4 linked regions of the Saccharomyces cerevisiae S288C genome follow. The protein of the gene in region 3 interacts with the protein of the main gene of each other region in a biochemical or structural test. Each region holds a gene or a part of one and is shown on either strand. Other genes may lie near its edges.

Evidence for each region.
Region 1: the proteins of CMD1 (region 3) and CMK2 form a complex in vitro, tested with the Saccharomyces cerevisiae proteins (one study listed by BioGRID).
Region 2: the proteins of CMD1 (region 3) and ROT1 form a complex in vitro, tested with the Saccharomyces cerevisiae proteins (one study listed by BioGRID).
Region 4: the proteins of CMD1 (region 3) and IPP1 form a complex in vitro, tested with the Saccharomyces cerevisiae proteins (one study listed by BioGRID).

What each region holds. Positions count from the first base shown.
Region 1 is NC_001147.6:291,755-300,588, forward strand, and holds CMK2 (calmodulin-dependent protein kinase CMK2), read right to left. Parts: upstream 4,367-8,834; coding exon 3,023-4,366; downstream 1-3,022. Other genes in the region: t-SNARE syntaxin TLG2, read right to left, coding at 1-320; ESC8 (Esc8p), read left to right, coding at 775-2,919; IRC10 (Irc10p), read left to right, coding at 5,324-7,084; YOL014W (uncharacterized protein), read left to right, coding at 7,939-8,313.
Region 2 is NC_001145.3:658,092-666,022, reverse strand, and holds ROT1 (Rot1p), read right to left. Parts: upstream 1,272-7,931; coding exon 501-1,271; downstream 1-500. Other genes in the region: DNA repair protein RAD14, read left to right, coding at 1-178; cyclin CLN1, read right to left, coding at 1,739-3,379; CIK1 (Cik1p), read right to left, coding at 4,494-6,278; v-SNARE protein VTI1, read left to right, coding at 6,825-7,478; YMR196W (uncharacterized protein), read right to left, coding at 7,681-7,931. UniProt on the Saccharomyces cerevisiae protein: Required for normal levels of the cell wall 1,6-beta-glucan. Involved in a protein folding machinery chaperoning proteins acting in various physiological processes including cell wall synthesis and lysis of autophagic bodies.
Region 3 is NC_001134.8:454,464-460,123, forward strand, and holds CMD1 (calmodulin), read right to left. Parts: upstream 3,900-5,660; coding exon 3,456-3,899; downstream 1-3,455. Other genes in the region: IML3 (Iml3p), read right to left, coding at 1-67; AIM3 (Aim3p), read left to right, coding at 359-3,202; ALG1 (chitobiosyldiphosphodolichol beta-1,4 mannosyltransferase), read left to right, coding at 4,409-5,660.
Region 4 is NC_001134.8:256,612-264,694, forward strand, and holds IPP1 (inorganic diphosphatase IPP1), read right to left. Parts: upstream 1,365-8,083; coding exon 501-1,364; downstream 1-500. Other genes in the region: HHT1 (histone H3), read left to right, coding at 1-130; YBR012W-A (gag protein), read left to right, coding at 3,258-4,580.

The sequences.
Region 1 (8,834 bases), on a different chromosome or scaffold from region 3:
TCTTCAAAGCCAGGTAACGAATTCTTCCTATAAACCTTCGCCAACTGCTCACTTAACCGTCTCACCTCCAGAAGATAATCATCAACATCCTGCGCTATATCAATAAATATGGGTGGTAACGCATCACTGTGATTCTCATGCTTGTTTTTTCGTTCATCTGTCAATCTGGCCGATATATCGTGAGACATATTCATCATCGGGTATGTACCCATTTCAATATCTTGATCATCGCCCAAGGGTGCTTTCCCAGATGAGAAAGTTATGTTATGAGGGAAAGTCCTACGGTATGATAAAAATAAATTAGTTCTATCTCTAAACATGTTTGTAACGACTGCCTAGATCACAAAGCGATAAAATGTACATCAATTGGAGACTTTCCTGTCTTGCCGTACTTATAGTCTATTCTGCTATAATCTATACGCACTCACTTTACACCTTAAAAGCCCAATACAAACCGGTCCAACAATTATAATTCATCTATAGGGCATATACAAAAAAAAAAGGTAGGTGTAAAAGATAATAAAATACAACCCTATTAGCTTTGATAAAAAATTAGTAGGGTTAGAATGTCATATGGTAGGGTGATATAAACGCGTGAACTTTACGCGTTTATATGTACTAAGTTATTTTCGGTATTAGAGAATACCATATCAACGACTAACTCTTAAGCTTTCGATTGTATGAGCTGAAGAAACGGCCTGCTCATTACCAGGATATCTCTTTTTTTTAGACATCAAACAAGAAAATAAGGAACAAGAAATTTGAGGTACAATAATGACAGAAATTATTGATTTAGACTTGGTCGATGACTTTATCAAGAAACCTATGGTCAAACAACAGAAAAACCAGTCTTCAAAGCCTAGGGTAAAAAGAAGGGGTCAGTTGACCTTTGATGATTTCAGAAACATCAAAATTGTAGAAGAACCTGTTGTACTTTCTCACAATAGTTCAATTGACGAATCACTGGATGCTGCTACCCAAAATACTAAAAAGCGGGAGAAATATGAAGGTACCTGTGATGAAGAAATGAAAACTAAAGAAATGGAGGCAAATATGGCAAGCAAATATTCTAATATCAAAACACATTCGAACGACACTAACAAGGTAGAGTCGATCAGTGAACACACTACTTCTAATAATAGACCATTGAATACATTAAACTGGTCACCAAATATTCCTTTACGATATTCTGACTTTGCAAAGTTTATGAGTGATGAGACGGTAACGGAAAGCAATTGGGCGCCTCCCCTTTGCACCCCTCTCCCATATGCAGGCGATGTTATGAAGATCCTTTCTTTTATCGTCAAATTTAAATGGGTGTTCAGCGACGATCTACTGAACCTGTCATTTCAAGATGTGGAGATAGGACTAGAATTAAAGGTGGCTGGCCATTCTGCGAAGAATATTCGAATTTGTCAGGATAAAATGAATCTACTATTTTGCAGTCTTTTGAGGTTATTATTCTGCTCCGAGAAAAGAGCAGACAACCAAACTCATAGAAATTTCACGCTAAAAAGATTTCTTAGTTTGAAAAATCCATATGGAAAACTGGTTGGCAAACTCAGAAGCTTAATCCAGGAGTGGGGCTTACCAAAAGAATGGCGTGGTAATAGTGATATTTTATCTACTCTAAATTTTAATGGAGGTGGTTTGTTGACGATGGAACCATTAGATAGAATAATATTATTGAGATGCATGATCGATTGGAATTGTAGCTACTCCGCACTTTTCCATAATGAAATTCAAAGGCTCACTCACTTGAAAGGCGATACAGGGTTCAACCATCAAACTTTTCACGCCAGCAGGTTTGCTATGTGCGGGGCCAATAACATATTAGATAGTTGTGAAGTTTTATGCTCTTTGATGAGTCAAAAGTTGGAAAATCGAAAGAAAAGGAAGCCCAGCGACAAAGGAAAACTGAGTAAGATCAATAGTCAGATGAAATTTCTAAAGGGTGTTCGGAAATCATTGAGCGAAAAAGTAACTACAGACAGATTACGAGCTGCAGTTAAAATAAATGAAGAATGGGGTGAATATTTTGCAAACGAATTTACACACACACCAATTGATGATCCCACCGTAGACGAAATTTACAAGTTAAGGACATCAGAGTTTATGATAGCGAGAATTCCACGAGTTGGAGATTTCTACTTACCACCATTCTGGATTGGCAACGAATGCAGTTCAGTAAACACTAGTTACAGTTTCAATGACATGTCAACTTATCTTAATTACTTCGTAAAATTCAAAGAGGAGGGTACAAAAATACTGCCTGCAAAAACCGCACAAAATGAAAACAAGTGTCAACTTAAACTTATATATAGGAACACTCCTGCATGTATCCGTAATTTACAGTTCAATGATGTTCACTTTGCCGAGGTGCCGCATTGGTTTGAAGTTGCAGGAGACTCGAATTCTTTGAGCAACTTCATTGAGTATTTGGAAAGTTTATCATCACTTACTGAAAATGACACCGATGATACAAAAAAGGGTATAGACAATCTAATTGAGTTTTTGAAAATTTTCAGTATATTCATAAATGAGACTATTCAGCGCATAACTGCTGCCCCTACAGGCAGTACTGAAGGACGTCATTTGCGAACAAGCTCTCAGAGAAGAACCACGGTGCATTACTCGAGTGATGTAAATGGTGACGTTTCCGAGGAAAGTGAAAATGAAGTTGACATTGACGTTAGCGATGACTATGATTCAGAATATCTGAGTGAGGAGAATACATTGACAAGAAAAGGTGAAGATAGGACAGATAAATCTTTTGGGAAAAGAGAATTACACAATGGCGCTAAAGATTGTGATAGGAATTGTGATGATATAGAGATCTTCTCAGAACCCGTTAGGCAACTACAAGATAATTCTCGGGAAAAAAGAAGCTTGAGGCGTAATGCCAGAAAAGGTCTATAGTTTGAATGCCATGAAGTGTAGCTGCTGGTTACATAAAATCGTCACTAGCTTTACACATTAAATATTATATACGAATTTATGTACACGAATTCAAGTCCGTAATTTAGTCTTCTGACTTCGACTCCCGATCATCATGCAGTGTTTTCTTGCTATCGTCTTCCTCTTCACCAGCCAAAACTTTATGTTTATTCTTTGTTGCAGCTTTGACAATTTGAACAAAGGCATCCTTTGTTAATGCAGACTTCAATTTCATTTGCTCTTCTGTTAGTTCTCCCCCTTTCTTCTGAGATTGCAGACGTAAATCATCCAACGAATGTGTGACGCCGTCCAGAAGACTTTCATTGAGGGAATTCTCTTCTATATCGTTATCGCCATCGTCCCCTAATGAATACATATTTCTTAACCTCTTAATTCTATTATTAAGCTTCACAATTTCAATAGCGTCACGTAATTTCTTACGCAAAGAAAACCCTTTCTTAACGTCTGGTAAAATATTACTAGTTTCAACTCTCTTTGAAGTAATCCATGGATCGTCCAGCAATTCCGTAGCAGTTGGTCTGTCAGCTGGATTCAATCTCAATGCCTTCAAGATGAAACGCTTAACATCAATAGATATGTTATCCCAATATGGCATATGGAAGGTTACCGGGTATCTCGAAGCTGTACATTCCTCCATGAATCCTTCAACGCTTTCGGCAATAAAAGGAGAATAACCGCACAGTAAAGTATATGTGATCACACCAATGGACCATATATCACAAGGCTTACCATGTCCATCTTGTGTGAGGACTTCTGGTGCCACATAACCCAACGATCCGGCTGCTTTGTATATCAAATCCTCCTCCCCCTTCAATTGTTTAGCTATACCGAAGTCCGCAATTACCAGAGGCGAATTTTCTGACTTATCAACATACAAAACGTTCTCAGGTTTCAAATCCCTATGAACAACATTCTTGGAATGCATATACTCCACGGCACCAAGAATCTGAACTATGATTTCAACAGCATCCACTTCTGTGAACTTCCCTCTAGACAGAATTCTATCAAATAATTCACCTCCTGTTGCCAGCTGAGTGACAATATAGAACTTATCCTTCGATTCAAACCAATCCTTGAATGACACAATGTTCGGATGACTCAATTTTTGAAGAATGGACAGCTCTTCGTACAGCATCTGTAATTGCACATTGTTTCCCTGCAATGCCTTCTTCAATAAGATCTTTATAGCAACATCTTCATTTGTGGACAACTTTCTGGCTTGTCTCACAACACCGAAGGAACCGGCACCCAGTGTTCGACCGAAAATATAATTAGTCCTGTTGACGTAAGATTCAGGTTGACCGCTTAATTTATTGATAAATTTTGCTACAGGGTGGCCGTTTAGACGCTCTGGATCTTGGACATCTACATGAAATTCAGAATTTATGACCTCTGACTCCTTGGGCATTTTTGGTGTCTATATTTATATTGGCGATGTGATAGAAGAAAAGGTGACGAAAAGATTGATCAACGAATTGAAGTTCTGCTGATCTTGAACAATATCGTATTGTTTTATATTATTAGGATTACCAAGAGAAACAGCAATGGGTGGCTTCAAAGGGGGCAGGGTTCTAAGATAAGCCTCAATTATTCTCTTCGCGCTGCGTTAAAGCGGGCGCTTCTCCGAAAGTACAGCACGTTCTGAAAAGCCTCATCAACATAGAATCCATATGATGCTCAACGACTGGAAGTAAAAACATGAAAATTGAAAAAGAATATGCCTGCAGGAGCATTGGGAAGTACATAGTGGCTTATAGACTGCCAAAAAAAATCAGTACGGAAGCAAATGAACCTTATGTTATCCAGGGAGCGGTGAGTAACTGAGTAAAAACATTAGGCAAATTTCTTCCAAAAAATCATTGACATTGCCTGTCAATTGAGTAAATGAATAAATAAATAAATGCAAAAAAGCCAACCTAACTCTCCTGCAATGATACAATGAGTACTGTATCAACGACCATTAGTAAGTATCATGAAGTGTTTTGTATATTTGGAAAAAACCAGGCTGCATTGCCCCAGTGGTGTATTTATATCTACTGCAGTATGTTCTATTCTGTGAAGTTCCTAAAAGACACCGAGGTTTCTATGGCCTAACCATATTGTTGTTCTAACGCCTTTTCTATGTAAGGGTCCTTATTGTTCAAAGCCCCACCGCTCCTTCGCGCGTTGTGCCTATCATTGTGTCAGTAAATGTTAGGATACGGGAAGTGTATATATTAATTGAGTGGACACAGAAAACGCTCTAGAAAGGAATATCTCACAAAGAACTGTAATATAAGCCTACATTATTGATTTTTTTAGTTCTCTTGCCCTTATATTACCGTAAGTCTGCGGTATAATCACCTGGCCTAGTGCTTTTTCAATCATGTTCATTGAATACTCTAGATTACCAGGCTTCGAAAGCATCAATATATCATTTTCTAGAGGCATGCTAAGATTGGCTAAATTTACTAATTTCGCTACATACAAACAAAAATTAGAGTACTTCAGGCTGTTGGCAGGTTCAAACAAATACATCCAACGAATCAGCGTTGCTGACTTTGAGAGACATCCAGATGAAATCAATTATATTTACATTATACTAATATCCATTCTCCAAATGGAAGAGTGTATGCCAGTCCTAGTTCTATGTCCAACTGTTTATTGGGTACGATTCCACTGGCCTGGAAAATGTTCCGTGAACAGTTTGAACTTTACGAATGAAACGTTAAAAAGCGCTTTCCATGCTGTCTTCACTCCCTATTTTGCACTAATGAAAAAAGTTCTTGGAAGGATTAAAAACAACATGTTGCTATTTGCAGAACCTCATGCAAATTTAAATAATTTGTTTGTCAAGCATTTCCACGATCTCATATATAAGAGCGTAAAGGATGAAAAAACCGGCGAGGCAATTCTGTATTTGAGAACTAACGTTAATGTTCCAAATGTTTTTATTGACGATAAAAGAGCAGTTTTTCATGGTGACGGTATGAAAATTGGAAAATTTACCGGCAAATTTTTATGCTTTTCCTTCAAACGAACAATAAGATGGTCAAAATTAGATTCAGTGGATTCTTTTGCGGTTACGACAGTAAATTATAGAGTATCTGTAAATTGGGAAAAGACACCAAGAAAGACTTTCCTTTCTCTAGACAGTGACACCAAAAATTTACACTATATATCGAAAAAGATATTGAATAAAAAGGGAAAGAACGCCACTACATCAAAAACAACAAAAAGTTCATGCACAAGTGAGAACGTTTGCGATGATAAAACATTCTCCGTCGAATTCCCACTTACAACGTCAGCAAAAACTGAATATTTGTTGAGAAGTAATTTTTCTTTAGAAAAAATTAATGAAAGCAACAATCCTACCCTTCAAGAACTTACTTTAAACCGTACACATCGCTTATACCGATCAAATTTTCGCAATGAACAAAGCACCACACAGAGGAAGTTTGAAAAAATCGGTAGAACTGTCTCTACTGATTCAGGCAATAAACTGCTTACGTTTCCGGAACAAAAGGCCACAAGAGATAGTAACCCCTTCTCAATCGAATTGACACATGCAACAGTAATTTCCAGCGACGAAAGTGCCTTAAAAGACACTACTAATCAAGCGATAGCCGAAATGCAACGTATAACTCCTGCTATTGCAAAGACAATCTCGAGAAGAACAGCAAATTGGGTCTGCTCAAACCCAGCTCCTGATCCGTATGGGGAACCTTCAACGTGGTCCAGAATTTTGACCCCTAATTTGAAAATAATATCGGAATCATCACCATATTATCCAGTCCATCTAGCTTCACCAAATTCTACCTTTAGTAGAGATCAAAGTGTAAGAAGTGTTGTCATGAGGAGAAGTTCTGTATGTGTTGAAAAACAAAATAGTTTCTTCAGAAATTACGAACATTTCAAAAATATATTGTCGAGAAGAACTATTAAGGTTAAGACATCATGTCCTAGGCTGAGCGTTGACGTAAGTGACAACAAAAGAGAAAATTTATCACAAGAACACCTCATTTTACCGAACAAATCTAGAGAAAAAGTCAACCGATTTAAAAATTGCCTACATAGAGTTGCAGAAGCGCTCAGAGCTGCCAAAGAAAACTGGGATCAGCACAATCCCAGGAACTCTATTCATTAAGTACTGTTAGTTTTTATTTTGGGACACCCTTGACATATAGTTTAGAACTTTACCTACTTTACCCTTGTAAAGTTTCTTTCCTTACTTAGCGAAACTGTACTGAATAAGTTGTGTAAGACAGAATCTTTGATTTTTTCCAGGAATAATCATCACTGCCTACTGCTACAACAGACTAGTTTACTCTCCCTTTTTTCCGTTTTTATTCCGACAAGGGGCATGAACATTCAATACTAAATTCTTTTGTGCTTTTTTTGGGAAGCCTTTTCTAATAAGTACCAGAAGACACATTTTTATGTGACACTACTTTAAGCCTCGAATGTTTTTTTGTGCCCTATTATTTCTAAGCAAAATATTAAACAATCTAGGCCGTAATTAAAACGCCTATCTTGGTACAGTGTTACAGCGGCTTATACAGTTTATGTTAAACTTAAAATTACATAAAGTTTCGAGAACTTCCCCTTAAGAAGGGTCCGGGCGCAGGCAACTGAGCCTACTCGGAATAAACATCGATGACCGTTTTTGGAAAAAGGGTTTGTCGCGGCATATAATGGATACTGAAGAGGTCGCCTGAAAACCTGAAAATTTTTTAGCCACCATAAATAATAAATAGTTATATATATTAAAACATCATTTGCTATTTTATCAAAATTCCGTTGTAGCGTGGTCAATTGTTCAACTATTTCAATTGTTCAGAAAAGTGAAGCTACTTAAAAGTAGAACAAAAAAGAGTTACTCGAACGTTGAACTCTTTGATTATTTAAAGATTTCAGTTTAACAAAAAAAGTAAAGTAACGTGAGAATGTCTGATTCAACAACTTCCCCCACAACCACATTTTCTACTTCATTATCACCAAATGCGACCACATCATTTTTTTTGTGGTAACATGGGAGTGATGTATACGGCCATGTCTGGATACGAAACAGAAGACGCACAAGCCTACTGGGCATGCGGTAGAGCATATGAATCAGCTTTTGCAACGTTGACTAAAAAGGTTCCAGGAACCACATTCTCAGCTGATATGCCAACATCTACTTGGCATGGTGTCCTGGATTGCGGCTATTCCTCTTCAATTAACGTGGCAGAAAATAAAAGTTCGCCCATCGATTATTGGAATTGTGGTAGAACATATGCCAGGAATTATGCTCTGTCCGATGCGCTTTCACTGAAGCCAACGAATATGTTACAGTACTTTCTATTAGTATTATTTTTTATCTGCATTATACTATGAGAAAAGCTCATTAATATTTGAGCACTTAGATAAAGTTGCATATGTGTATGAATACATTCTGAAGCAGCCATTAATTATTAATTTATTCAAGGGCATAATCAGTCCAAAATTTATGTTTTTACAATTATTTTTTTTCTCGTTGTTGGTTTCTAAATGACCTAGGAGAATTATGTATAGAGATTAGAAGCTTTTCGACAATATAGACTTCATAATAACGAAATGATTTTACTTATGTCTGCAATTATTTCCTCATGCCTTCCTGTATTATCGCTTGTTAGTCCTAGTACGTTATTTGCACGCCTGTTCCGACTGAATTCGATGAGAGTTGGAATCTATGTCACATTTAGCACCGTATAGGCTAATATTCTAATAAGCGTGACAAAAAATTGGAGTGTTTTACTTGTAATTGATGAATATCAATTCAATGCCCCCATAGCTTTTTTTTACGGGTGATTCTTTTTTTATTGTATTTTTCCACCACGAACCGTAGATGGCTTATTGCATTTCTACATGAAAGAATA
Region 2 (7,931 bases), on a different chromosome or scaffold from region 3:
GCGACTGAAAACAAGAGCTCAAGAATATACTAATAGATTAAGAGAAAAGAAGCATGGGAAAGCCCATATTCATCATTTTAGTGATCCAGTTGATGGAGGTATTGATGAAGACGGTTATCAAATTCAAAGAAGAAGATGTACAGACTGCGGGCTAGAAACTGAAGAAATTGACATTTAAATGTTGGTTATGTATATAAGAATATAACAAGAAAGTCATAATAAGGTGTTTTGATTGTGTTCATTGATTGATATCCCATTTGTCACTCGTACATAATTAACTATCTCGGAAAAACTGGTTTGAAAATCTTTTATTCATCCACCTTATTTAATAATATGATTACAATCAATTCCTTGGGTGCATAAAATTACACCTATTCTTGCTTCTCTTTCTCGCCTGATAAAGTTGTTTTGCCTTATATGTTTATAGTTTTTAATATTTATTTGAAGGCCACATGGGGCCTCTTTCCCCCATTGGTTGAATAAGTATCCCTGTAGTGCGCCTAAAATGCTAAAAATAATAATGAACCTACACCTAGCATACCCGCAGAAATATACCAAATGGCATTGGAGGTTAAAAATGAGGTATTTTGTCTTTTAATGGCATTCGTCTTGTGTCTGTTTTCCAGGCTCCTCCTCACTAAACTTCTCAGTGATCTTTTCTTATTAGAGGATGGGTCGTCAGTGCTGGTCGCTGACGATGTTGGGTTCAAAGTTTCTGTTGGAAGCATCATTGGTGGTCTATAAGCCAAATATAGTGGTTGCATTGGAGTACCATCATATTGGTACAATTGCAGGGTGTAAATACCATGGTAAGGATCTATACCTACGGCATATTCCTTGAAAGTTTCTGTTTGGTTATATCTAGAATAAGTCGAAACTCCGTCATCATTGCATGGGTCGCTGAATAGTTGTCTACCGTCAACTTCAATAGGATTCAGAACTAACGTACCGTTTTCTGAAATGTTATATGTACCATGCTGATAAATCAACGAAGCCATGGGGCAAGTTGGGTTACGAGGATTGCCACTTACCTGGTAAGTAGCTTCTTCGTACCAACCATCTTCAGTGAACGAATAGCTAAGCCCGGGCAATGAAGGTTCTATCAATAGTTCATCTACGGGATCATAAAACCCCGGTCCCGTGAACACTTGATTTGATTTAGATGACCAGGTACCGTATATAGAGTTACTTTCGTCTTCACAATAGACCTTTTGAGCAAACAAATACCCGCCTAAGATTAGCTTTTTTAATGTAAACTTTTTCGACCACATAGTAATAAAGTGCAACAAATAATAATGGTTATAATACCGATCCTTTCCTCAGAATGATGTCTTACTTCAGTTTAATATGCCGGTAGGTTCTCGAAAAAGATGAGATCTCAAGCTTTAGTATGACTATATATCTATAATCTTAGAGAGGCTTTCTATTTATAACTGTTTGCTAATTACTACTCTCCTTTGCTTACCGCAAACGTTAGAACGAAAGGAAGAAAAAAATACTGGAAAATCGCGTCATCTTTTCCGTTCATGATGATAATTATATCAATCGTTGAAAGAATATTGGTATATTACTATTCAGCTGGTTTCAGGTGAAGAATATTGAGGCTAGATGTTTGTAGGTGGGCATTAAAATTATCTGGTATTAAAATGTCAAGTATGAATGTCATTATTACTTACGATGGAAAAGCGTAGTATTCCGTTATTAATTAAGTATATATGTAGGCTTGATGAGAAAATGGTCACAGTTGAGAGCTATTGTGGTTCCTTAACGATAGCGATATCGAAGACGCTCTATTAGTAAGTTCTCCTGTGTTCTGGAATATACCAGTCGTCATAAATTTGGCACGTTGTGGTATTTCAGCGGATGATGAGTTGGGAATTCTATTCTCTTTATTCCTTTCTTCTAGCATCATATTCTGATAATTGCTTGATAATGGCATGTTACCATTTTGGGTTTGATTAGGTAGACTGCTTACGCTTATGGCACTGTCACAAGCACTTTCGTTTTTAAACTGATTAAAAGTGTACATGTGAGGGGTGATCGGCGATGAATGGTCAATGTTGGTAGTACTGAAAACACTGTTGTCTGATTGTGCACTGAAGTTTCGCATTGGAGTATAATTGGTTCCCGAAGAATATGTGCTTGGAGAAGAAACTGATGATGAAGAGGCATTTTGGTCAAAGTAACGAGAATTGACAGCAATTTTTCTGGTTAGGTCTATTGTAGAGGCCAGTTGCAGTTTCTTTTGTAATTCCAAGTTATAATCTTTTACTTGTAATATGAAAGGTACTATACCATATTGCTCCTTATAAACTTCGACTAAAGATGGGGGAGAATTGACTATGCCATTGATGATAATGCTGAATACCTGCGTTTGAGTGTTTGAGTTTATATCATTACCAATGGGCATAGAGAGAAAAGGGCCTTGATCTTGATTAGTGAATTTGTTTATTATAGAAAACATACCATTGCATATTTCGTATAATTCGAATTTAAGCAAGTTGTATTGCCAACAGCTCAGATCAATTAAGAATCTTTTCAAATTTATCAATTTAATTTTGGAATTTAGTTCTTCATCTTCATCCATGGTAGTTGTATCGCCATCTAGTCCAGTACTTTGCGGTGAACTACTGATATGTTCTTCCACTGTGGCATCACTGTCGTCAGAAGATTGTGACTTTCTCTTACAGGACCATTCTTTGCCGTTGCTATTGTTATTTTGTAACTGGTTTTTGTAAAGTTCATATTGTATCAAACAATTTTCGTCAACGTTTAAAATGTAGTCATTAATCATGGGCTCATAAACGTCCCAGTTCAGAGTATCCAAGATATGTCTTTCCATTTGAATGAACATTGATTCATCGAATAAATCGGACCCGCCGCAATAATGAACCAATTCAGAAAGGCGTGGAATACGAGCTCTAGGATTGGGACCATAAAACCTACCACCTGTGGGGATGGAGACGTTGTTTATAATATGGTTGCACCCTCCCCAAGTTTTGGCCGCTAACCAAAGGCAGGTGCCTACAACTAGTTTAGCTTGGTCCTTTAACACTACTCTCTTAGAGCAATAGCGATCGTAGAACCTGACAGCGTGGAAGAAGATACCATTACTTACTCTAGTCATCACTGAAAGTTGATACAAAAATGTTACTATGGCTTCTCTAGTTTGATGAGGATTCATCTCCGGTTGCTGATCGATCAATTTTATGTCTGGTTTTGTCTTGGAAGATTGGACCAGCACATTTTGAGAGATTTCCTCGTGATATTCCTGTATGGTTTCGTAATGAGTTAGTAGTTCTGCATTGGACAATTCAATTGGGTAATATGTCTGCTTTGCAGTGACAATTAACCCAGTTTTCACTTCTGAGTGGTTCATGATCTTTTTATTTATTTTACAGAAATAGCTAACGAGCAGTGGAGTGGTGGTAGTGCTATTTTATTTAATTGCTATTATTGTTATCGTCGTTAAAATGTATTGTCAGCAAAATTACACTAATTTCTTCTATCCTGGGGAGATGGGATGAATAAATTGACAATAACCAGGAAATAAATTAAAGCGAACGAAGAACTCCTTGGCCAATTTGCTCTTAAGTGTGCATTCAACTAAGAAACTATTGAAGATAAGCATTACCAATTCCAAAATATATTCTTATATAAAAAGAGATACTAAGAAAATATCGAGAGATTAATTGCTGCACTCGCACCGGTACCACTTGGCGCAGGAAAACTGCGGTTTCCACAGGGGACCCACGCTGCCTTTACTCCATTCTCAATCTTGCCTTCTGCAGTATCTTTTTTTTTAATTTTCGAGTCTTCGTCACTTTCGAGTTAGTCTCCCTCCCAGCCTCGACCTGGCACCATTCAGCTCAATCCAGCAAAATCGCCAAAAATGCGTCTCCGATGCTTTCAAGGTTGGAAACTAACTAACGCGGTGCGAGATTCCCTCGAAGAAGTAAAATCGCGAATTCTTCCTTGAACGCGTCTCTTGCAGGCTGAACAAAGAAGTCGCTAGTGGATCGTCACAGAATGAACACGCCCACGAGCGGGATCTGGCTCGAGTTGTCATGAATACTGAAAGTATCAGGCGCGGGGTTGTAGTAGGTAAAGAATTTCTCCAAGAGGTTGTAGGAATGGACTTGTTTACCCCTTTACGCGCGGTGTTTTCGTGGCTTTACCGCATTGGGGTATGTCCCAGAAGAGAGTGTGCGCTATTCGATTTCCTATCAGTGAAGTGTTGCGAACAAGGGAATGCTGTCGAATTAGGAAAACAAAAGTTTATTCATGCAAATTTTGTGGCACGCTACCCTAAGTTCTCGATGATGTTTGGCTGCGTTTAAGTGAGTAATTTACATCCGCCTGTTAGTCCCGTAACATTCTCTTTTATTTTGCTAGGATAATTAGGTTGATGCCACGCACGACAATGTAGCTACGTAAGTTTTTTATGTAAGGGAACGAGACGAAGTGATTGTAGCGCACAAGATCTGGCCTTCTTAATCTAGCTGAGGTAATGTTATTGTTCTTTTCAGCTTTCCCGCTAAGGCTAGAGCCTTCTCGATGTTTTCACCAGCGTTAATCTTGAAGACAAAGCACTGCTTTGTTTTAGTGAGAATATGCGAAAGGACTGAGGGAGCATCATCAAGCTCTCTATTCAGCTGTACCGTGGACATACTACCGATATATATATTCATTGAATGGGACTCTTCATCTTTTCCCAACTTGGTATCTAAAGTTAAAATGTTCATGCATTCTTCATCTTGTGACAGATCTCTAATTTCTGTTGGGTTATCTAATCCAACGTCACTGTGTTTAATACTTCCGTCAAGATGCAAAATGTTCAATGTCATCTTATAATTCTCACCGTACTGCTCAATTAACTGTTTTAGCAAAGTCTTTTTCATTGGTGCTGTGGGTTGCTGCGAAACCACTATAATGCTGCAGTTAATTAACTTGCTGATGTATTTTTCCAGGAACGGAATGCATTCGTTATATAAGCGTTTGTGATCCTTATGGATTTCTTCGAGAACTACTCTATCAAATACTTGTACCCGTTTTTCTCCACTATTCTCGCAAATGCACCGATCCACATAGTTGATATGGAATTCATCAGGCATTTGTCGTTCATTGGCATACGCAAAGCATCGGGTGTATCCTTTGATTTCTTCAATTGAAGTGGCCAGATTTTGTCGTGTGTATAATTCCTGTTGAACCTTTTCTAGTTCATTAACGTACTTCTTCTTCCAATTGTTTGCTTCTCCTTCGACTTGCTTCTTCTCCTCCTGCACTTGCGTCAATGCTTGTGATGTAGAAGCAAGCTTCTTTTTGAGAGGAACAACGGCAAGTTCCATGCTATGGAAGTTCACTTCTGCCTCTCCAATCCTTTTTTCAAAATCGTTAAACTCATCTCTACACGTCTTAATATTTTCTTTCAGTTCACCATGGGTGTCTTGTAGGTCTTTTAAAACTTTCGAAAGTCTTTCTTGCTCCCCATCTAATTCAATTCTAGCATCGTTCTTAACTTTCTTGAATATCTCGAATTTCTTGTCCAATTCTTTTTTGTAGTTTTTACACTCGTTCTCATTTTCATTCTGTAGAATGAATAGTTTCCTATTGACCTCCTCGAATTCTGTTTTAAGCTGTCGCATTTCGTCAGTTAACCTTTCGTCAGGTTTCAAATTTTCTACTTCCATTAATTTATACGTCCACTCCCTTTTGGCATTCGATAGCTCTTCCTCTAAATCGTTTTCGAACTCTTGTACTTTTACTGCATGCATAGACACTATATTTTTTGATGATAGCTCAACATTCTTTCTTTGAAGATCACATTGATTATCCTTCAAGTCCATCTCCGTTGATAGTCCATCAATCTCATTTTGTAGCTCCCTGCACGCTTTGACTTTTGCATCTAATTCTAATGTTATTGCAGGTAGTTCCCTGGCATGAATACGAACAGATTCCTTTTCAATTTCAGAAATAGCATTCAGTAGTGAATCTATGTCTTTTCTAACCTTACGTTCATTGTTCTTAACCCTTTCAATAATCTTGGGGTCCCCCCCAAAGGTTAGTTTCTTAGTATACGTAGCGGAGGTGTCATCAGTGTAGCAGCGCCGTATACCAGATCCAGAGCTGTGCAATATATTTAGCTTGTTGTTATTAGGAGTTAGTATCATATCCATTTCTCTTTTCTGAACCTTCTGTCGTTTTGTCTTTGGAAAGTCTCGAGTGACGTTGTTTGGATCACTATGAAAGGAAAGTTTAGGAATTTTGGAGTTATTCATCCTAATAATAAAGCTTATGTCAACGAGTTTCAAATGCCAAAACAAATATTAAAATAGTGAATAGCTCTTATATATACACGGTCCAACCCTATGGCACAAAATTCACTTATTTAGGCGCTTAATTATAATGTCGTAGTTGTGTTTCAAAGTTGCTTCAGCCAAACGGAAAAGCCGCCTAAATGTGTCGATCAGTGAATGAGCTCAATAACGTGTGGATATCAAAAAATAATACAGTAAAGCCTTATTCTCGGACGATATGCTCAATGGTCAACGACTGACTAGTTTTATTTTGATACGAGCTACGACAGTGGTATCTTTCATATACTAGAATCATATTAGAGAGTAAATAAGAACAAAAATGGTAAACAAACAAATATCACTATGGACGATATTACTGATCACATGACTGTCTAATTTTCAATGAAAGTTAGGAGTGGAGTAGTCGTGCTATATAGGGCAATTACTATTCTTGGAAAAGTGTAAAGCTTTACATTAAGTTGTATAAAACGAATCAACCGCACTCTTTACATTGCTGCATGGCTTACTATGAGTTCCCTATTAATATCATACGAATCTGACTTCAAAACAACCTTAGAACAAGCCAAAGCGAGCTTAGCAGAGGCCCCCTCACAACCGTTATCACAGAGAAATACTACACTGAAGCACGTAGAACAGCAACAAGATGAGTTGTTTGACCTGCTAGATCAGATGGATGTAGAAGTTAATAACAGCATAGGCGATGCCTCAGAACGTGCTACGTACAAGGCGAAGTTAAGAGAATGGAAGAAGACTATACAGAGCGATATCAAACGACCACTGCAATCCTTAGTAGACTCAGGCGATCGTGATAGACTTTTTGGAGATCTTAACGCATCTAATATTGACGATGACCAAAGGCAACAGTTGTTGAGCAACCATGCAATCTTACAGAAATCGGGAGATAGACTAAAAGATGCCAGTAGAATAGCAAATGAAACTGAAGGAATAGGGTCACAAATAATGATGGATTTAAGGTCACAGAGAGAAACTTTGGAAAATGCAAGACAGACCTTGTTTCAAGCGGATTCATATGTGGATAAAAGTATAAAGACACTAAAAACAATGACTAGAAGGCTAGTTGCTAATAAATTCATAAGCTATGCCATTATCGCAGTCCTTATATTATTGATTTTGCTAGTTTTGTTCTCAAAGTTTAAATAAGGTGGGAAAACAAATTCAATAAAAAACCTCTAGAATCTAAAGAACATGTCAAGGAACTATAGAGTTACCTTCACTAGTAATATCAACGCTACCTTACTGATAAAAAACTACTGCAATTAAATATTCTATAGATCAAAATATAGAGGTATATCGTTGGAAATATTTTTCAAACGTACAGATATTGAAGGTTCACCGCAGTTAATCAAGACACATCCTTATTCAACGGACTCATTGGGTCCATTGGGTCTATATCCTCATCTTTAGCCTTGTCAGTTACTTTCATATTTTTCACCTTATCTTTTAGCTTGCCTATAAGCTTGGTTTCAAAGTTGTGACGATCTTCAGGTACCACAGTTTCGTGAATACCTTCCTCTTCATTCATTTCCTCCATCAAATGTCTAGCCTTGTCACTTGAAATGCTGCTTTGTGGTGTCAACCCAGAATGGGTGCCCC
Region 3 (5,660 bases):
ACTTTGCTATACCATTTTCCAGTGAAAGTTGCTTGCTGATTCCTAAAAACTTCCAAGTATAAGGCATTCCATCCAAAGGAAGTACGTTGATACCTATAGACAATCAAATCAACCATGCAGTCGACCAGATCATCCCACTATGGTTGTTGTCTATTTCATATCGGTGTCGGCATTTTTTTTTCCCGTAGTACCACTGGATCTGCCTAAATCGCGCTTCAGGAAAACCAGGGACCACCCTATTTTTTTATATTTCATCATCTAAATTAAGTGTATACATATATGGATAAAGTCATTTTGAGTTTACATAATCGTATGTTCGAGAGAGGTCTTTCATAAAAAAATCAAGTTATCAACCAGCATGGGATTTTGGGAGAACAACAAAGATTCCATCACTTCAGGGCTGAAGAGCGCCGGTAAATATGGTTACCAAGGAACAAAGTACGTTGCCAAGACAGGGTATAAGGCAAGTAAGAAGCACTATAACAACAGCAAAGCGCGTAGGGAAAGGAAGAGTGGTAAGAAAAATTCAAGTGATGAGGAGTATGATAGCGAAGATGAGATGGAGTACGAAAGAAAGCCGACCGATATAAGAAGTTTAAAAGACCCAAAGTCCTTTCCTCCCCCACCTTTGAAACCTGGACAAAAAACTTATACAGGACAACAGCAACAGCAAATGCCAAATGGTCAGGCCAGTTATGCTTTTCAGGGTGCATACCAAGGCCAACCTGGCGCAGGATCGACGGAACAGTCACAATACGCACAACCACAGTATAATCAGTATCCACAACAGCAGCTGCAACAAGGTGTAATGCCACAGCAACAGCAGCTGCAACAAGGTGTAGTGCCACAGCAGCCGCCTATATATGGAGAGCAAGTACCACCGTATGGGTCAAATTCTAATGCAACCAGCTACCAGTCGCTGCCGCAACAAAATCAACCCCAAAATGCAATTCCAAGTCAGGTATCTCTGAACTCTGCTTCTCAGCAAAGCACAGGGTTTGTCTCGCAAAATCTGCAATATGGTACCCAATCAAGTAATCCGGCACCATCACCGTCTTTCCAGAACGGTCTTCAGTGTCATCAGCAGCCGCAATACGTATCACATGGCTCAACCAATCTCGGACAATCCCAATTTCCATCGGGCCAACAGCAGCAGCCCACGACACAGTTTGGCCAGCAAGTTTTACCATCACCTGCACAACCACAACAGCAACAACAAGGGCAACCATTACCGCCCCCGCGCGGTCAAGTGATCTTGCCAGCGCCCGGAGAGCCTCTGTCAAATGGCTTTGGGCAACAGCAACAGCAACAGCAACAGCAACAGCAGCCTCTGAACCAAAACAACGCTTTGTTGCCACAAATGAACGTGGAAGGAGTTTCTGGGATGGCTGCGGTTCAGCCTGTCTATGGCCAAGCCATGTCAAGTACTACAAACATGCAAGATTCGAACCCCAGCTATGGAGCTTCACCCATGCAAGGTCAGCCTCCAGTCGGTGGACAACCGCCTGTGCCTGTAAGAATGCAGCCACAGCCACCGCAACCAATGCAACAGGGAAACATCTATCCGATTGAGCCTTCTCTTGATTCTACTGGCTCAACCCCACATTTTGAAGTTACTCCATTTGACCCAGACGCACCTGCTCCGAAGCCCAAAATCGATATTCCCACTGTAGACGTTAGTAGCCTTCCACCACCTCCCACTCATAGGGATAGAGGAGCAGTTGTACACCAGGAACCTGCGCCAAGTGGGAAAATACAGCCTAACACAACCTCTTCGGCGGCTTCATTGCCAGCAAAGCATTCAAGAACTACTACTGCAGACAATGAAAGGAACTCTGGAAACAAAGAAAACGATGAAAGTACCTCCAAGTCGTCCATTTTAGGACATTATGATGTAGATGTCAACATCATGCCACCTCCAAAACCTTTCAGACATGGACTTGATTCTGTACCTTCTGAGCACACCACGAAGAACGCACCAGAACGGGCAGTGCCAATTCTACCTCCTCGGAACAATGTTGAGCCTCCTCCTCCCCCATCACGAGGCAATTTTGAGAGGACAGAGTCGGTGCTGTCAACGAATGCCGCTAATGTACAGGAGGATCCCATTTCTAATTTTTTACCTCCACCGAAGCCATTTAGACATACTGAAACTAAACAAAATCAGAATAGTAAAGCATCACCTGTAGAAATGAAGGGTGAAGTTTTGCCAGGGCACCCCTCTGAGGAAGATAGAAACGTTGAACCATCGTTGGTACCTCAATCGAAACCGCAATCGCAATCTCAATTCAGAAGAGCTCATATGGAGACACAGCCTATTCAAAACTTCCAGCCACCACCAAAACCATTTAGGCGTTCACAATCGTCCAATTCTAGTGATAGTTCTTATACTATCGACGGACCTGAGGCAAATCATGGGCGTGGGCGTGGGCGTATAGCTAAGCACCATGATGGTGATGAATACAACCCCAAGAGTGAGAATTCTACAGAAAACGGTCGTTTGGGTGATGCCCCCAACAGCTTTATTAGAAAAAGAGCGCCAACCCCTCCGGCCCCATCCAGATCTGAGAAGTTACATGAGGGTACTATAACATCCGAAGTTGATAGTTCAAAAGATGCTAATAAATATGAAAAGTCAATACCTCCTGTAACTTCGTCTATTCAAGCGCAACAGTCTACGAAGAAGGCGCCTCCTCCTGTTGTAAAGCCAAAACCTAGAAATTTTTCTTTAAAGGCCAATGAATATCCCAAGGAACTTACTAGGGAAGCAACTGGACAAGATGAAGTTTTAAACTCCATTACCAATGAGTTGTCGCATATCAAATTAAGAAAAACAAACGTTAATTTGGAAAAGTTAGGCGGTTCGAAAAAAGTGAAGGACTCTAGCCCTGTTCCCTCAGATCTAGATGAAAAATATGTGTCTGCATCGGGGTCTATTACTCCACCAAGGCCTCCACCTTCTAGGTCTAGTCCAAAGAAAGTGCCGCCTGTTGTCCCAAAAAAGAATGATAACCTGAAGAAAAAGCCACCAGTGGTCCCAAAGAAAAAGCCATTACTAAAATCGCTCGAACCAAGACCTATTGAAATGGAGAGGGCCTATTCGGGAGATATTTCTGCTGCTGACGATAACTTAAATCCTTTTGAAAGATACAAACGAAATGTTGTTCCTCAAGAAGATGACAGACTGCATAAATTAAAATAATGAAATAGCTACGCAACATTGAACTTAATACTGGCTAAATTTAGTTATCCGCCTTGGTAAACAATCCGTATCCTTTATTTAAACTGTCTTCTCAGGAACATTACTTATCTACATAAATAACATTAACCCTGTCTACGTACAGTATATATTTGCGTGTGGTTGTCAAACTTTAGATGAAACGATACTCAACGAATACTATAAAACCAGAATGGTAAGGGTAAGATAGCGGGAGCAAAAAATCACAAGGATGCACCTATTTAGATAACAAAGCAGCGAATTGTTGAATGTTGATCTCGCCTGATCCATCACTAACCTCTCTTAGCATATCATCTACTTCGGCATCAGTCAATTTTTCACCAATGGATGTTAGCACGTGTTTCAACTCAGCGGCGGAGATTAAACCATCACCGTTCTTATCGAATACTTTAAAAGCTTCTAGTAGTTCTTGTTCAGAGTCATTTGATTTGAGTTGACGAGACATCAGAGCCAAAAATTCACTAAATTCGATTTGATGGTTACCATCAACATCTATTTCGTTCATCAAATCATTTACTTCTGCTTCACTGGGCGAAAGACCCAATGACCTCATCACAGTGGCCAATTCACTTGATGAGATAGAGCCATTGTTATCTTTATCAAAGAGGGCAAAGGCTTCTTTGAATTCAGCAATTTGTTCTTCGGTAAGATTGGAGGACATTGTACTTTTTTATTTGTATTAACTAAGCTCTTTCTTTGTAGTTCGATAGTTTCCGGTCAAGAATAAGATTTCTATCCAGTCAGAGTACCCTTGTGAGTTAACAAGATCTCTTGTTAAACACCTTCTTACGCGGGCAATAAAAAATTCTAAGAATAAAGTCATATCACAGTACACGAAAATATAAATACATCTTGAAAATGTCTCAAATTGGGTGGAAAAGAGGGTGCTTGAATTCATTAGGACATATGGTTGATGTTCTCAGGTTCTACTTATGTTTGCTTTGTCGATTTTTGCATGCTTTGACTGTGACTTTCCTGTCTGATATCTTTGTATGGCTTGTTGCTAAAACAAGGTCAATCCAAGCAGTGATCATCTTGCACGTTGCTTCAATAGAACGCGCATATAGCAATCATCAAGTTAATTGGTCATATATCTTTCAATCAGCAATTAGCAAAGCCATTAGAGGGTAATTGTAACGGCATTTTAGGGGCTATAGTCAATTGGTGAAAATGTTTTTGGAAATTCCTCGGTGGTTACTTGCCTTAATAATATTATACCTTTCCATACCGTTAGTGGTTTATTATGTTATACCCTACTTGTTTTATGGCAACAAGTCGACCAAAAAAAGGATCATCATATTTGTGCTGGGTGATGTAGGACACTCTCCAAGGATATGCTATCACGCTATAAGTTTCAGTAAGTTAGGTTGGCAAGTCGAGCTATGCGGTTATGTGGAGGACACTCTACCCAAAATTATTTCCAGTGATCCAAATATCACCGTCCATCATATGTCAAACTTGAAAAGAAAGGGAGGCGGAACATCAGTTATATTTATGGTAAAGAAGGTGCTTTTTCAAGTTTTAAGTATTTTCAAATTACTTTGGGAATTGAGAGGAAGCGATTACATACTAGTTCAAAATCCACCGAGCATACCCATTCTTCCGATTGCTGTGCTATACAAGTTGACCGGTTGTAAACTAATTATTGATTGGCACAATCTAGCATATTCGATATTGCAACTAAAATTTAAAGGAAACTTTTACCATCCTTTAGTGTTGATATCTTACATGGTAGAGATGATATTCAGCAAATTTGCTGATTATAACTTGACTGTTACTGAAGCAATGAGGAAATATTTAATTCAAAGCTTTCACTTGAATCCAAAGAGATGTGCTGTTCTCTACGACCGCCCGGCTTCCCAATTTCAACCTTTGGCAGGTGACATTTCTCGTCAAAAAGCCCTAACTACCAAAGCCTTTATAAAGAATTATATTCGCGATGATTTTGATACAGAAAAAGGCGATAAAATTATTGTGACTTCAACATCATTCACCCCTGATGAAGATATTGGTATTTTATTAGGTGCCCTAAAGATTTACGAAAACTCTTATGTCAAATTTGATTCAAGTTTGCCTAAGATCTTGTGTTTTATAACGGGTAAAGGACCACTAAAGGAGAAATATATGAAGCAAGTAGAAGAATATGACTGGAAGCGCTGTCAAATCGAATTTGTGTGGTTGTCAGCAGAGGATTACCCAAAGTTATTACAATTATGCGATTACGGAGTTTCCCTGCATACTTCAAGTTCAGGGTTGGACCTGCCAATGAAAATTTTAGATATGTTTGGCTCAGGTCTTCCTGTTATTGCAATGAACTATCCAGTGCTTGACGAATTAGTACAACACAATGTAAATGGGTTAAAATTTGTTGATAGAAGGGAGCTTCATGAATCTCTGATTTTTGCTATGAAAGATGCTGATT
Region 4 (8,083 bases), 200 kb from region 3:
AGAATCTGTCGAAGCCTACTTAGTCTCTTTATTTGAAGATACCAACTTGGCTGCCATTCACGCCAAGCGTGTCACTATCCAAAAGAAGGATATCAAGTTGGCTAGAAGATTAAGAGGTGAAAGATCATAGTTTGTTGATTGTCATCAGTTTTAGTAAAAAACGAACAAAAACACAATAAAATATAAATCAATATATTTAGGTTTACTGGGTTCTTTAACAGTTGTATAATAGTTATTTTTTATTACAAAAATATAGGTTTTAATAAAAAAAAATAGGGTTCTATTTGTTTTACATTTATTGATTTGTTTTTCCTGGCGATACCCTCGAAAAAAGCCAGGCCTTGTAGGAGGCAAGATTTATGGCTTTCCATGTGGTTAAAGAAAAATTGCAGCAGGAAGATATTCATTCATGAGTCAGTTATATAATCGATATATAGCTACATATTAAACAACTTGAAGCCGCATACGTGGTAGGTGTCTCATTTTCAATTCAAAATATTTTAAACAGAACCGGAGATGAAGAACCACTTGTCAATAGACTTGTCAATTGGAGCATCTGCCTTTGGAGAAGCTGGTGGGATGGCATCAGAGGCAGCCTTGGAGTAGGTTGGGGTGTCAGGCAAAGTAACATTGGTCAAATCAATACCCTTGCTGTCAGAAGACTTACCAGCAATTAATTGTTTCCAGGAGTCATGTGTTTCCTTGATGATATCCAAAGCGTACTTCTTGTTCTTAGCTTCACCGGAGAAGGCAAATTGGTTTTCTGGCTTACCATCTGGGATTTTGTAAATTCTGAACCATTCGTTAGTAGCCCTCAACAGACCTGGGAAGTATTTCTCAACATCCTCAATGTCGTTCAATTTTGGGGCTAATGGATCGTTAATATCAATGGCAATAACTTTCCAATCGGTCTCACCTTCATCCAATAAAGCCATGATACCTAGAGCCTTAACTTGCTTGACTTGACCAGTGTAAGCAATAGTTTCACCAATTTCCAACACATCAATTGGATCGTTGTCACCAACTGCCTTAGTTTCTGGGTGGCTTACGTTTGGGTCTTCCCAAGTTTGTGGGAAAGCACCATAGTTGTGAATGTAACCATGGTGAGGGAAACAGTTTCTAACAAATCTCAACTTGCCCTTCTTGGTGTCTTGGATGATTGGGTTCAAAGTTTCTTCCTTGGTGATTTCTAACTTGGCGTTGGTCCAACGTGGAATTTCAACAACCATGTTGAAAATGTTGTTTTCCTTGTCAGCGTACAAGGGAATGTCGTGGAAGGCAGAAACTGGCTTACCATCCTTTTCGATATAAACTTTGTATTCCAAGGTGTTCTTGGCACCAATTTGTCTGGTAGTGTAGGTCATTAGTAAATTGCGCGGCGGGATATCCTGTTCTATAGACCTAAGGGACAACAAATCAAAATAGATGATTAAGAAAGTAAGTATTCAAAAACAAGTTGTAAATGAACTAACCTTCCTAACTTCGACGCGACCTTAAAACGTCGAAAAAAAACGAGAAAAAGTCATCATGAGACTATCGTATCTAATGACTGTGGCTTCTCCCAACAACCTTAGCGTCTGCGATGACGATATTTTGAAGAACAGTCAAATCCGTTTGAATAGTGCGCCACACAGGGATAATAATAGCACATTGGCATCTCCTTCTGTGAATGAAACACTTCTACCTGGGCTTCAAAGTCCCGCAACCTTTTAGTTACATAAAATTCGGCGGCTAAATCATGATATTATATTGATGGGTAATGTAGCGTTCAGTAAAACGGTTCCTATGTATTACTATCACGTGGGTGGGGAAGACCACATTCTTAGAGAAGAGTAATCATTTTAGCAGATTATTTTTACCTTTTTCAACTCATGAACTCATGTTCAAAGGTACAATATATTACCCTTTCTTCAAAGTATCCGAATGATTTGAACCGCACTCTGAGGGAGCCATCAAATTCTATTGAGCGACTTCGAATCGAACAATCCAATTAAATCAGCCTTTAGCGCCATATTTCTCCTTGTATCCATTGTTTACTTCTCCCTTGTATCTTGTATATGAGAATTATGGGAATAAGATAATTGTTGGGATTCCATTGTTTTCAAAGGCTGTAATATTAGGTACACAGATTATACTAGAAGTTCTTTTCGAGGATATAGGAATCCACAAAAGGAAATCGATAGTTATACATAATAATATTATTGTATCTTACTTCCTTTTATATGTTGTCACTCATTATTGTGTCGTGCATTCCATTAGATTGGATGACTGTTTCTCAATCTTTATGCCATCCTCTTACACCGCATGTGATATAATAGTAACATGAGTGCTGCGAAATAGATGATATTAAAATTTCATTCCAACAAAGTTCCATATATATCCATATATATATATATATTTCACGAGGATAATGAGTTAAAATACTATGTAAAGGTATTGTGGTTCATTTTTCTTTTATCAATTTTTATCCAAGTTTTTCTGATCTATAACATGTCCAATACACTTTTTCGAACTATAACCGCCAACAAATTTATCTTATAGACGAGAAACACTTTTATGATATCGATGTTCTACACCTACTGCCGATAACACCGTGTTTTCACTATTATAGCATATACCATTTTTGTAACCAATGTGTTGTTGTAATTCTCCGCAAGGCATATCCCAGATATTCTTATATGGCCCATTTCCACTTCGTTGAAGCCTCACATCAAAAGAGCAATCTTGAGATAATTTCAAAACCACACACATCGCTGCAGTTTCATAATATCTGTCATCACTGATGCAATAATTAAGTGACGAAATTATATCATTATTAACAGCTGTATTATTATTATAATCAAGACAAGCTGAATTTGATGCAAATATATATTCCCATTCAGTGCCGTTTCTTTCGAATTTATAGAAATCACTTCTTTGTAGGTAATTGTTCTGGCTTACTTTGAGCTTATTCATGTTAAAGTAATTGTTGGAATAAAAATCCACTATCGTCTATCAACTAATAGTTATATTATCAATATATTATCATATACGGTGTTAAGATGATGACATAAGTTATGAGAAGCTGTCATCGAAGTTAGAGGAAGCTGAAGTGCAAGGATTGATAATGTAATAGGATAATGAAACATATAAAACGGAATGAGGAATAATCGCAATATTAGTATGTAGAAATATAGATTCCATTTTGAGGATTCCTATATCCTCGAGGAGAACTTCTAGTATATTCTGTATACCTAATATTATAGCCTTTATCAACAATGGAATCCCAACAATTATCTAATTACCCACATATATCTCATGGTAGCGCCTGTGCTTCGGTTACTTCTAAGGAAGTCCACACAAATCAAGATCCGTTAGACGTTTCAGCTTCCAAAATTCAAGAATATGATAAGGCTTCCACTAAGGCTAACTCTCAACAGACAACAACACCTGCTTCATCAGCTGTTCCAGAGAACCCCCATCATGCCTCTCCTCAACCTGCTTCAGTACCACCTCCACAGAATGGGCCGTACCCACAGCAGTGCATGATGACCCAAAACCAAGCCAATCCATCTGGTTGGTCATTTTACGGACACCCATCTATGATTCCGTATACACCTTATCAAATGTCGCCTATGTACTTTCCACCTGGGCCACAATCACAGTTTCCGCAGTATCCATCATCAGTTGGAACGCCTCTGAGCACTCCATCACCTGAGTCAGGTAATACATTTACTGATTCATCCTCAGCGGACTCTGATATGACATCCACTAAAAAATATGTCAGACCACCACCAATGTTAACCTCACCTAATGACTTTCCAAATTGGGTTAAAACATACATCAAATTTTTACAAAACTCGAATCTCGGTGGTATTATTCCGACAGTAAACGGAAAACCCGTACGTCCGATCACTGATGATGAACTCACCTTCTTGTATAACGCTTTTCAAATATTTGCTCCCTCTCAATTCCTACCTACCTGGGTCAAAGACATCCTATCCGTTGATTATACGGATATCATGAAAATTCTTTCCAAAAGTATTGAAAAAATGCAATCTGATACCCAAGAGGCAAACGACATTGTGACCCTGGCAAATTTGCAATATAATGGCAGTACACCTGCAGATGCATTTGAAACAAAAGTCACAAACATTATCGACAGACTGAACAATAATGGCATTCATATCAATAACAAGGTCGCATGTCAATTAATTATGAGAGGTCTATCTGGCGAATATAAATTTTTACGCTACACACGTCATCGACATCTAAATATGACAGTCGCTGAACTGTTCTTAGATATCCATGCTATTTATGAAGAACAACAGGGATCGAGAAACAGCAAACCTAATTACAGGAGAAATCCGAGTGATGAGAAGAATGATTCTCGCAGCTATACGAATACAACCAAACCCAAAGTTATAGCTCGGAATCCTCAAAAAACAAATAATTCGAAATCGAAAACAGCCAGGGCTCACAATGTATCCACATCTAATAACTCTCCCAGCACGGACAACGATTCCATCAGTAAATCAACTACTGAACCGATTCAATTGAACAATAAGCACGACCTTCATCTTAGGCCAGAAACTTACTGAATCTACAGTAAATCATACTAATCATTCTGATGATGAACTCCCTGGACACCTCCTTCTCGATTCAGGAGCATCACGAACCCTTATAAGATCTGCTCATCACATACACTCAGCATCATCTAATCCTGACATAAACGTAGTTGATGCTCAAAAAAGAAATATACCAATTAACGCTATTGGTGACCTACAATTTCACTTCCAGGACAACACCAAAACATCATTAAAGGTATTGCACACTCCTAACATAGCCTATGACTTACTCAGTTTGAATGAATTGGCTGCAGTAGATATCACAGCATGCTTTACCAAAAACGTCTTAGAACGATCTGACGGCACTGTACTTGCACCTATCGTAAAATATGGAGACTTTTACTGGGTATCTAAAAAGTACTTGCTTCCATCAAATATCTCCGTACCCACCATCAATAATGTCCATACAAGTGAAAGTACACGCAAATATCCTTATCCTTTCATTCATCGAATGCTTGCGCATGCCAATGCACAGACAATTCGATACTCACTTAAAAATAACACCATCACGTATTTTAACGAATCAGATGTCGACTGGTCTAGTGCTATTGACTATCAATGTCCTGATTGTTTAATCGGCAAAAGCACCAAACACAGACATATCAAAGGTTCACGACTAAAATACCAAAATTCATACGAACCCTTTCAATACCTACATACTGACATATTTGGTCCAGTTCACAACCTACCAAAAAGTGCACCATCCTATTTCATCTCATTTACTGATGAGACAACAAAATTCCGTTGGGTTTATCCATTACACGACCGTCGCGAGGACTCTATCCTCGATGTTTTTACTACGATACTAGCTTTTATTAAAAACCAGTTTCAGGCCAGTGTCTTGGTTATACAAATGGACCGTGGTTCTGAGTATACTAACAGAACTCTCCATAAATTCCTTGAAAAAAATGGTATAACTCCATGCTATACAACCACAGCGGATTCCCGAGCACATGGAGTCGCTGAACGGCTGAACCGTACCTTATTAGATGACTGCCGTACTCAACTGCAATGTAGTGGTTTACCGAACCATTTATGGTTCTCTGCAATCGAATTTTCTACTATTGTGAGAAATTCACTAGCTTCACCTAAAAGCAAAAAATCTGCAAGACAACATGCTGGCTTGGCAGGACTTGATATCAGTACTTTGTTACCTTTCGGTCAACCTGTTATCGTCAATGATCACAACCCTAACTCCAAAATACATCCTCGTGGCATCCCAGGCTACGCTCTACATCCGTCTCGAAACTCTTATGGATATATCATCTATCTTCCATCCTTAAAGAAGACAGTAGATACAACTAACTATGTTATTCTTCAGGGCAAGGACTCCAGATTAGATCAATTCAATTACGACGCACTCACTTTCGATGAAGACTTAAACCGTTTAACTGCTTCATATCAATCGTTCATTGCGTCAAATGAGATCCAACAATCCAATGATCTTAACATAGAATCAGACCATGACTTTCAATCTGATATTGAACTATATCCTGAGCAACCGAGAAATGTCCTTTCAAAAGCTGTGAGTCCAACCGATTCCACACCCCCGTCAACTCATACTGAAGATTCGAAACGTGTTTCTAAAACCAATATTCGCGCACCCAGAGAAGTTGACCCCAACATATCTGAATCTAATATTCTTCCATCTAAGAAGAGATCTAGCACCCCCCAAATTTCCGATATCGAGAGTACCGATTCGGGTGGTATGCATAGATTAGATGTTCCTTTACTTGCTCCCATGTCCCAATCTAACACACATGAGTCGTCGTACGCCAGTAAATCTAAAGATTTCAGACACTCAGACTCGTACAGTGACAATGAGACTAATCATACAAACGTACCAATATCCAGTACGGGTGGTACCAATAATAAAACTGTTCCGCAGACAAGCGAACAGGAGACTGAGAAAAGGATTATACACCGCTTCACCTCCGATCGGATACTTCCGTCATCAGAAAGTAATTCACTACACCATGTCGTTCCTATCAAAACGTCAGATACTTGTTTTAAGGAAAATACAGAGGAATCTATTATCGCTGATCTTCCACTCCCCGATCTGCCTCCAGAACCTCCTACCGAATTATCAGACTCTTTTAAAGAACTTCCACCGATCAATTCTCGTCAAACTAATTCCAGTTTGGGTGGTATTGGTGACTCTAATGCCTATACTACTATCAACAGTAAGAAAAGATCATTAGAAGATAATGAAACTGAAATTAAGGTATCACGAGACACATGGAATACTAAGAATATGCGTAGTTTAGAACCTCCGAGATCGAAGAAACGAATTCACCTGATTGCAGCTGTAAAAGCAGTAAAATCAATCAAACCAATACGAACAACCTTACGATACGATGAGGCAATCACCTATAATAAAGATATTAAAGAAAAAGAAAAATATATCGAGGCATACCACAAAGAAGTCAATCAACTGTTGAAGATGAAAACTTGGGACACTGACAAATATTATGACAGAAAAGAAATAGACCCTAAAAGAGTAATAAATTCAATGTTTATCTTCAACAGGAAACGTGACGGTACTCATAAAGCTAGATTTGTTGCAAGAGGTGATATTCAGCATCCTGACACTTACGACTCAGGCATGCAATCCAATACCGTACATCACTATGCATTAATGACATCCCTGTCACTTGCATTAGACAATAACTACTATATTACACAATTAGACATATCTTCGGCATATTTGTATGCAGACATCAAAGAAGAATTATACATAAGACCTCCACCACATTTAGGAATGAATGATAAGTTGATACGTTTGAAGAAATCACTTTATGGATTGAAACAAAGTGGAGCGAACTGGTACGAAACTATCAAATCATACCTGATAAAACAGTGTGGTATGGAAGAAGTTCGTGGATGGTCATGCGTATTTAAGAATAGTCAAGTAACAATTTGCTTATTCGTTGATGATATGATATTGTTCAGCAAGGACTTAAATTCGAATAAAAGAATTATAGCAAAACTCAAGATGCAATACGATACCAAGATTATAAATCTAGGTGAAAGCGATGATGAAATTCAACACGACATCCTTGGCTTAGAAATCAAATATCAAAGAGGTAAATACATGAAATTAGGTATGGAAAACTCATTAACTGAGAAAATACCCAAATTAAACGTACCTTTGAATCCAAACGGAAGAAAACTTGGTGCCCCAGGCCAACCAGGTCTCTATATAAACCAGCAAGAACTAGAGCTAGAAGAAGATGATTACAAAATGAAGGTACATGAAATGCAAAAGCTGATAGGTCTAGCATCATATGTTGGATATAAATTTAGATTTGACCTATTATACTACATCAACACACTTGCACAACATATACTATTTCCGTCCAAGCAAGTGTTAGATATGACATATGAATTGATACAGTTCATATGGAATACGAGAGATAAGCAATTAATATGGCACAAAAGCAAACCTGTTAAGCCAACAAATAAATTAGTTGTTA